Linked DNA regions of Rattus norvegicus. The protein of the gene in region 1 interacts with the protein of each later gene in a pairwise test. Links are inferred from orthologs where the notes say so. Each region holds a gene or a part of one and is shown on either strand. Other genes may lie near its edges.

Region 1 (4,797 bases):
TCATTTTCTCCAAGTCTTTTAGAACCTGCATAGTCTTGAAAGGTCAAAACACTGCCCACGGGAAAGACACAGTCACCACCTGTGTCAGAATAAAAGTCAAGACCAGAAGTGGTTACACTATCATCGGATCTCAGCATGCTGAGGGCAGAGGTAGGAGGATCACTGTGGGATGGATGCCAGCCTGGTCTACATACAGGCTGCATAGTCTGACCCTGACTAAATAAGTAGCAAAAAAACCAAAGCGAACTTCCTGCTTGCTACTCTGGTTTGGATTCAGGTGCACCTCCCTCACCAAAGCCAACTTCTTTACAGAACTGCTTTGCCTGTGCTTAGGAGCTCTGTCAGAGGAGATCATTGCGTGTTTGTTCCTAACACCAGGGAAGTGAAAACAGAAGGAACCTGGGGTTCAATGGCCCGCAAGCCTAGCCATGAAGGGCTTCCCATTTGTCTGTCTACCTACCTACCTCTACCTAGGTACTTATATTTATTGTTTTTTCGACAGAGAGTTTCACTATACAGCCCTAGCTGTCCTGAAACTTGAGTAGACTGGCCTTGCACTAGAAATACCGCCTAGCCCAAACCTTTCTTTAAAGAAAAAAAAAATAAAATAAAATTGGGAACACATAAACTCGCTGGACTGGAACATTTAAAATAAATCCTTTGAAAATGTCAAAGGTTTAAAGGTCTAAAGAAGACCTAAAAGATTATTTTTTATTTTTAAATCAGGAAATTTCCTGGGGTACTCTTTCCCTTTCTCAGTAGGCTATATACATTTTTGGCCTGTTTAATGTTTCTACAGTGTAACCAGAGCTTTACTGGCCGAGCTGAGGGGGTTAAGTAGTATCAAGCTATTGCAGGAAGTGGGAAACTGAGGCGGCTGGCCATTGGTTTTGCAGATTGTGTGACGACTTGGGCCCAGGAAACGGGTTTATAGGGGTCTAGGCAATTGCTCTTATAGGAGAGAACTATGGAAACCAGTTGGTTTGGAGGGAGCTGTTCACTGACAAGGCCACGTCCTTCCAATAGCTTATAGAATCTGGCAATGAGAGGGGATCTGAATTTGAAAATAACTGCAGACCTGTTTAGTTTTTAACACTTCAGGCGGCCTAGGGATTACGATCCTCCCTTCTCTAAAGCTTGTTTGCACTTCCCTTTTTTTCCAAGGCCTGAGGCTAGGGCAGGCCCTTTGCACCCGCTACCAGACTCCACCCAGGCTTTCCCACCTCCGTGCCGCGGAAATGCGGTGATCTGGCCGGACCTAGGATCTCTAGGAAGCACTGATAGGACGACACGGCCGTCAGTCAGGTCCGCCGGATACCCGGATGAGAAGCTGTGCGCGATACAAAGGCGAAAATTCCACCCAGCTTTCCGTCTGGTACAGTGACCAATAACCATCCGTCAGACACTAAGTGATAGAAAGCTTAACCAATTACTAAGTAGCTTTTGTTACGCATGTGGAAATTCTCCCAATTAGCCCAACCCACCTCGTGTGATGATTGGACGGAATTGTGAGGAGCGGTAACGCTATCTAATTAGGAGCGGGAGCGAGAAAAGTCACAGCCAATAGAAACGCCTCCGGGAGCGGGGCGGGGGCTGGACTTTTGCCTCGGCGGCAGAGGAGCTCGGGGGCCATTTTGTGAAGAGACGGAGAGCGAACGGTCGTGTGGTTCCTTGCTGTTGTAGCTCCGGCTTCTCGGCGTAGACCCGCAGTAGGAGAGGCAGGCTCTTCTCTCTCTCTCCTTCCTCTTGGTAAGCGGAGAGGGCGAGGGCAGGGGAGGCCCTGGGTTGCTGGGCCCCGCGAGGGGGTTGTAGGCGAGAAAACGGCCTCGCGGCAGAAACCGAGGCCGCGTTTGTTCCTGTGCGTTGGGGATTGGGTCTAAGGCGGGAGGCAACAGGCCTCGGCCTTGGCGCAGGTTCAACCTAGTGACCTCTAGGCCACGGTGCGTACGAAAATACCCTCTTTGCGCGCTGGTGTTTAACGGCTACTTTCATTTCCTTCCCCCATTAGGATTCCAAGGGGGAGCAGGGGAGCAAGAAAGCGAAGAACGAAATGCTTGTTAATGTAATTGTAGTGAATCTCTTACTCCGTTATTGTCTTCTAAGCTAAATGTCGGGCGTGGGTGGGGGAGCGATAACATGGTGGTGTAGTACTGGAAGCTTCTAAATTCCAGGCCGGCCACATGGCATCTGAACGGCGTTTTAACAATAGATTAAGTAGTGATTACTTTTTTCTTCAAGGGATAGATGGGTAAAAGTCGGGAGTGCTTTTGGTTTGTAAAGGGAAGTGCCCAAGGTAAATTGTAATTGGAATAATTACAGCTTTTTATCTGCAGGTTACAAATCACATAAGTTAGTGGAACTTTGCTTGAGGTAGGTACTGCTGTCCTAGAGAGAAGTGAGACTTAAAAGTGGTTGACAGGACCGGACTAAATCAGTAGTAGAGAAACTAAGATATTTCTAGGCAGGTCAAGTTACTAGAATAGACTATACACAAGAAGAGACTTAGCCGGTAGGTGGTGACAGTGCACGCCAAATGCCTCCCACCACTTGGGAGGCAGAGACAGGCAGATCTCTCTGAGTTGTGGGCCAGCCTGGTCACAGAGAGAGAGTTCCAGGACAGCTCGGGCTACACAGAGAAGCCCTGTCTCAAAAAGGGGGGTGGGGTGGGAATGAGTTTTTCTTTTTAGAGGAACCTGATACCGAAATTTACAGGACATTTTCAATCTGGACTTGGGAACAATAATTAAAAGGCACAGAAATAGTTTACAGATACTCCAGTATTAATCCTACCCATCTAGAATGGAAAAAAAGCAGTTTACAGCTAGTTATGGTAGTGCAGGCCCGGAATGTTTGCATTCTGGAGGTTCAGAGACAGGAAGATCCTGAGCAAGATCCCATTGCAAGGCAGCCCAGGACTACATAGTAAAACATGTTTAAAAATTAAAGTAGTTGCTCTCTTGTAGGTGTTGAGTTCTTTTTTTTTTTTTTTTTAGATTTATTTATTCTATATAAGTACACTGTTGCTGTCTTCAGACACACCAGAAGAGGGCATCAGATCTCTTATTACTGATGGTTGTGAGCCACCATGTGGTTGCTGGGAATTGAACTCAGGACCTCTGGAAGAGCAGTCAGTGCTCTTAACCCCTGAGCCATCTCCTCCGTCCGAGTTCTTTTAAATATAGCTAGTGATAGTGCTTAGGATTCAAGATGCCCAGGATTCAATCTCCCATACTAATAAAGGGTTTTTGTGTCACATTAACTTACCTGGGAGTTATTTCATTAGATAAACTTATTATAAAATTGGTATTTCACTCTGGCACAGTTTTTAATCTCAGCACTAGGAAGGCAGGAGATCTGAATGTAGAGTAAATCTAGTAATTCTAGGACAGCCAGGGCTATACAGAAAACAATGGGTTTGATTAAGTGACAAAAATATGCTACTAATCTTAGTTTAAACTATACACACATTTTACTCTTAAGCATACTTCATGGAATGTGCATGGCCTACTCTTGTAATTTGAGCACTTGGGGGATAGAGGTAGGAAGAGTTCAAGGCCATCCTTGGTCCAGCTTGGAGTATTAAGACTGTCTAAAGAAGAACAAATGCAGACAAAGGAAAAAAAAACAGCCTCCCACATTTTTTGTTTGGTTTCTCTGTGCAATAGGCCTGGCTTTTCTGAACCCACTGTCTTGATTAGGCTGGCCTTGAACTCTGATCCACCTGCCTCCGCCTAAGTAAGAGATGGGATTAAAGGCATGTGCCTTTAAAAAGTAGATAGAGTACAGGGTTTTGCCTGGTGAACAGTGAAAACTAGGTAAGAGAAAGTATTATAAATGTCAGAAGTTATGCAAGGTTACTGGTAGTAGTTGATGTATACTTGCCATTAAGTGTTATAAATGTAGGCCAGGCTTGGTAGGCACCTTGTTCTGGTAGAACATGTGGATTTCTTGGAGTTTTGAGGCCAGACTCAAATTACATTTTTGATTTGACTTGGGAGGAAGCTGTTAAAATTGCAAGGTTTGGATCTCTCATTTGCCATGGTCAAGCCATTTTCCAAAATGGTTGGTAATGGTTACTATTTTTTCTGTAGAGTAATTATAACATGTTTGCAATTTGATCTCTAGATTTATTGGCTTGTGATCTTGTTATAAATGGGCATGGCTGTTCAAGCAAGTAAGGAATATATTCCTAAATAGTTCGTTACAGTCTTATAGATGATGAGTGGAAGTTACTAACTAGGGAAACTACAATTGAAAAATCTTGGCTGTGTAAAACTATGTAAGTATCCAGTAAATTAGACTTCTGGATTTGTTTTGAGATATAAAACAAGCTAAACTACTACTTTATATGGAAATTTTGAGTTCTCATTTAACCCTAGTCATTGCTGAAAGTAGTTGACAAAATACACAAAAAATTGTCCTACCCCACCCCCACCTCTGTTTCCTAAATTATTACTGCCTCTTATTGGTGGAGTATGCACCCCAGTACTTGGGAGGCAGGGGCAGGCAGAGTTGGAGGCTAGCTTAGCTTAAGTAGCTAGTTCCAGGGCAGCCAGTAACAAATGTTATTTTGCTATTGACTACCTTAACAAGAGTATTACTATAAATCGGTCAAGTATATTAGTATTTAGCATTATTTACTTACATTCAACTTTCATTGGAAGGGTTATGGTTTTGTATGAACTAGATTGAAGAATTGGCTGCTGGTGAAAAATAACTTAGGGGTAGCAAAACCTCAGTGTTAAATGTTTTTGAAGAGCTACATTGAGTATTGTTTCCCGTTATTAGTTTAAAAGA
Region 2 (4,722 bases), on another chromosome or scaffold:
AGAACCAGAAGCCAAAAGTTCCCAAGGGGTTTTGTAATAGGGTCTTTTGCAAAGTTCAAACACATTTAGCTTCCTCGTTCCTTCTGACTCCGAATTGCCACTGCTTCAGAAAATCACACACATTTGAGGAACTAATATTTGGTAAATGAACACAAATTCGTTTGTTTGTTTGTTTGTTTGTTTGTTTGTTTTTAGACAGAGTATTATGATGTAGCTCAGGTTGGCCTCAAACTCATATTCACCTGCCTTTGCTAGGTTTAAAGTATGGACCACCATGCTCAGCTTAAATATAATTTTGAAAGCATTTCCTCACTCTTTTCTGAACCTCGAGCCTCCAGCATAATTAGCCCCTTCTAATGAGTTGTAGCTCTATTTTTTATCTTGACATGAATGCGGGAGAGGAGAGGGGGAGTATCACTAAACTGCTCAGAGTGGCTTTGGACTCTTGGTCTGGCTGGCCTTGCTCTTGGGATACTTCTTTAACTGCTCCTCCTCACGCCCAGTAGCTAAGATTACAAACCGCGTCACCAGTCCGGAGCTCTTCTGAAAAATTTGAGAGGCTTTTTTGTATCTGTTTTACTTCCGCCTTTGGTTACAATGTTCCTGGTTAAGAGGTATCTTTGGGATTAACTTCCTTTATCAAGAGTCACAATGTTGCATTTGCTATGTCAAGGATCATAGTCGTCATTCTCTATAAATTAATACTTTGTGATCAAGCAGTTTAATTTTCCAAGAGAAACTGGCCAAAAAGGCAATTAGTTTCTACCTGTTGCAGGAACTTGGTCAGAGGCCCCTTTCCTTTTCCTACCCGGTCCCTCTAGTTTTCCCTTCAGTTTTCTGAATGCACATCGCCCTAGCCAGTCCTAGTCCCGATGCCTAGCCCTAGGATGGTTCGCAGTTCCCTGGACAGGACTCAGGGTTTAGGACTCGGAATGGAGCTTAGACACACCTCTTTGCCTTCCAAAGTGAATGAAGCGCTCAAGTAACACCGGAGGAGAAAAGAACGAAGTTCAGAACCCCAGTACCCAAGGCTACCCGGACAATCGTACCACCATAACCAGGACCACTATACCCTCCCCAGGACCACCCTCTCCCGGGTCTGCTTCTCTTTGGCTGCCTCCGGTTTCTCCCTTGGCGCGCGGCCCCTCCCCTCCCAAGCCTCTGCGCCCCGGCCCTTTCCTGCCCCAGACTCTCCCTTCCCCTTTCCTTTCGCTCTTCCGCCCCCGCTCTCCATCGCCCCTTTTGATTGGCCAAGCACGCCGGAGCCCGGCCGGCCAATAGGCGGACCGGGTTGGCGACGATGGGCGTGGCCGCAAAGCCGGGCCCTCAGATCGAGGCTGCCTCCCCCTCTCAGCCGGCAGCACATTCCGCCGCCGTTGCCGCCGCCGGCCCCGCAGTCGTCTTCGCCAGAGCTGCTGTGGTACCCGGGCTCAGGGCAGGCGAGGGCAGCCAAGGAGCGGAGGCCGGGGAGGCCGGGCGAGAGGAAGGGAGCGGACGGGCGGGCGGCGCAGGCGGCGGCCGGCTTCCTGGGAGCGTCGGTGCGGCGCGGTGGTTGGGGCGGATCCCGCGGGGCCCGGGCGGGGGGGGAGAGTCGCCGGCCCGGCCATGGCGGACAACGAGAAATTGGACAACCAACGGCTCAAGAATTTTAAGAACAAAGGCCGCGACTTGGAGGTACAGTGGGGTCTGCGGCCTCCGGCCCCGGCGGGACGCGGGGTTCGTACGGAGTCGGGCGGGCGCGGCGGCCGGCATGGCGCTGGGCGGGCGGGCGAGCGGCCGTGACGCGGGCGCCGCGCCGGGAAGTTTGTGCCGGGCCTGCTCCGCCTCCGCCGGCGACAGCGCCCGGGCCCGCCGGGTGCGGCCTAGGCCTGTTCTGCCGAGCCGGCCAGACACGAGTGCGGGCGGCCGGAATATCGGCTGCGGCGGAGGCCCAGCAGCGGCGGAAGCTCCGGCTCTGCTCCGGCCCCGACGCCAAGCGTCGCGGGCGGAGGGCGATGGGGGAGCGAGCGGCGACCTCGTAACTTCTCAGGGCCTAAGACGCTTCCACGTTCAGGAGGTTTTTCTAATCACCCCGACTCTGGTTTTACTCCAACGTCCAAACTACAGGAGTCAACTTCTCCGCTGGAAAGAAAAAAAAAAAGCACCCCCGCCTCTCGCGGGGGTCCTGGTGATGCTAGCAGTGCCTTCCAGCGGCCTGGGTTTCACTCTGGTCCTAGCTGATTCAAGATGTAGCTCACGATGTGCCCTTTTCCAGTCAAAGGATCGCCTATCCCCAACCCCTTATTTGAGCCTGTCCACAGATCTTTTTACTCCTCTCGGAGAAGAGATCACCAGTTTGCATTCTTACATAGAAAGCCCAAAGGGTTATTCAAAGCTGTCATCCTCTAGTCTTCAGTATTCTTTCCCTCCACCTCCTGGTGGTGATGGCAGTGAGGAATCGGGTAGGCTGTGGACTGACACCATCACGTATTATTTTAAAAGGGAAAAGAAGGCTTCGTTGTCATAGACACAGCTACTTCCAAGGTTCGATGTATTAAACACACAGTTTCTTTCCATTGTGACTTTTTTTTTAAACATAGGGAATTATTTTTTAAAACACAAGGCGTTCTAAGCTTAGAGTTTAGCTTCTTATCCCCATGTGTTCTTGTAACTGATCTTCAGACTGCTGTGGTCCGTTTCTGAACTTGAGCATTTGCGGGCTAGAGATGGCAACTTTTGTTTACTTTTCCCAATGCCATTCAGTCTTTTAATGTAGTTTGCACTGTTTTAGCTTATTGCAGTAGTTAGAACTGTATGTTCCAGGGTGTGTGTTCCCAGAGCTCGTTTGACGGTTAATGAAGCTTTGTGATCATTTTTTATAGTGAAAGAAATTTTTAAAATAATTTTTTTGGATTTATTTTATGTATAGGGGTGTTTTGTCCGGATGTGTGTGTGTGCATCCATGTGTGTGCCTGGTGTCCAAGGAGGCCAGAGGACAGTGGCCCATCCCCTGGAAGTGGAGTTACAGCCAATTGTGAGCTGCTATGTGGGTGCTTAGAACTGAACCACTGAACCATTTCTTCAGCTCCCAAATTTAATATTTTTATTGGAGTAATTTATATGTAACAGAAGCCAACTTTTTAAATGTATAATTCATAGTTGTCATTAAATTTGTATGTTGAACAATGCTGATTTATTTTTACTAATAAAAATATTTAGAATGGGAAAATCACAAGTTAGGAAATATAAAACTGATAAATACTGCAAAGTTAGAAATTTCAGAAAAATATCAGGTAGCCAACCAATCTAATTCTTTTGCTTCCTATTTCTAACAGGTTCCTTGAAATGTGATTTACATGCTATACAATTCACCCAGATAAAGTGTTTGGGTTTTTTTTTTAAAGATTTATTTATTGTATGTATGAGTGCACTGTCACTGTCTTCAGACACTCCAGAAGAGGGCATCTGATTCCATTACACATGGTTGTGAGCCACCATGTGGTTGCTGGGAATTGAACTCAGGGCCTTTGGAAGAGCACAGTGCTCTTAACTGCTGACCCATCTCTCCAGTCCATAAAGTCGTTTTTAATGTGTTTAAATAGTTGCACAATCAACACCTAAGTCAAATCTCCAAATATTTACTGCTCTTTAAAGAACCCCTGATATAAGTCATTCTTTCTCAGCTACTCCAGCTCAAAACAATGTTTTGATTGCCTATTCTGAATGCTTCATGTAAATAGAATGTACATTTTATGATATGTTGTGGCTACCTGACTTGAAGGTTCATCCATACTGTAACAAGAATGTTTCTTAGGTCTGAATAATGTGCTTGCCTATAGTTATACCACATTGTGTTTATATGTGTTCATCTCTATGGAACTGTGGTTAACCCTTTTTATCAGGTATATATTACTGGTATAAGCATTTATATACACATTCTTGTGTAACATGTTTACTTCTTTTGGTTACAAACCTAGAATGCTAGATGATACTGGAACTTTACATCTAACGTTTTATAGGGTTACCAGACTTACTTTCTCCCTTTCCACCCCTCCCTCTTGTTCTTTTTTTTTTGGACAAGGTCTCATTATGTAGCTGTAGCCCAGGATAGCCTTACACTCTCAATCTTTCTCCCTTATCCTCCTAAATACTATATTTTATTGGCATTATCCCTGATTCTCCCTCCCAAGTTCTGGGATTGCATGTGCCACCCCACCCTGTTTTAAGTTTTTGTGACTACCTGACAAATACACAAACACAAACACAAACACATACACACGATATTACCCTTACTATGTATTTCTTGCCACTACAGACTAATAAATACTGAATCTACCTGGCTACTATGATAGGTGACTTAAAGTTAGGTATAAATGCATATTAGACATATTTTGATATTATGTCGGTAGCCACTATCTAATGACTGGATCCATGTATGTGCATTAGAAATTAGAATATTTTCATTTTTCTACCTATAAATATGATGTGACTAAAAATTATTTCTGTGACTTACTCAAGATCACATAAGTGGGTGTTGTTCACTTGTAAATCATAGTATGTACAATGCCTTGGGTTTGATCCTCAATACCACAAAAGAAAACAAAAGCTTCTAGAAATGATGAGTTCTTGTAATGAGACAGAAACATCTTTTATTACTTCTAGACAGTCTGTTTGTTGTATTGTTACTTTCCTGCCTGAATCTTTCCAAAGCCTGTATGTACATTTTCTCCCCCTCCAGATAGT

What was found.
Region 2: the proteins of Hnrnpc (region 1) and Kpna4 interact in binary tests that used the Homo sapiens proteins (3 or more experiments, as listed by UniProt). The two-hybrid records come from large-scale screens. The link is inferred for Rattus norvegicus from reciprocal best matches to the Homo sapiens genes HNRNPC and KPNA4.

The regions. Positions count from the first base shown.
Region 1 is NC_086033.1:27,279,514-27,284,310, reverse strand, and holds the start of Hnrnpc (heterogeneous nuclear ribonucleoprotein C), read left to right. Parts: upstream 1-1,595; 5' UTR 1,596-1,749; intron 1,750-2,333; exon of another isoform or gene 2,334-2,370; intron 2,371-4,788; exon of another isoform or gene 4,789-4,797. UniProt on the Homo sapiens protein: Binds pre-mRNA and nucleates the assembly of 40S hnRNP particles. Interacts with poly-U tracts in the 3'-UTR or 5'-UTR of mRNA and modulates the stability and the level of translation of bound mRNA molecules. Single HNRNPC tetramers bind 230-240 nucleotides.
Region 2 is NC_086020.1:155,687,632-155,692,353, reverse strand, and holds the start of Kpna4 (importin subunit alpha-3), read left to right. Parts: upstream 1-1,602; 5' UTR 1,603-1,605; coding exon 1,606-1,674; intron 1,675-4,722. UniProt on the Homo sapiens protein: Functions in nuclear protein import as an adapter protein for nuclear receptor KPNB1. Binds specifically and directly to substrates containing either a simple or bipartite NLS motif.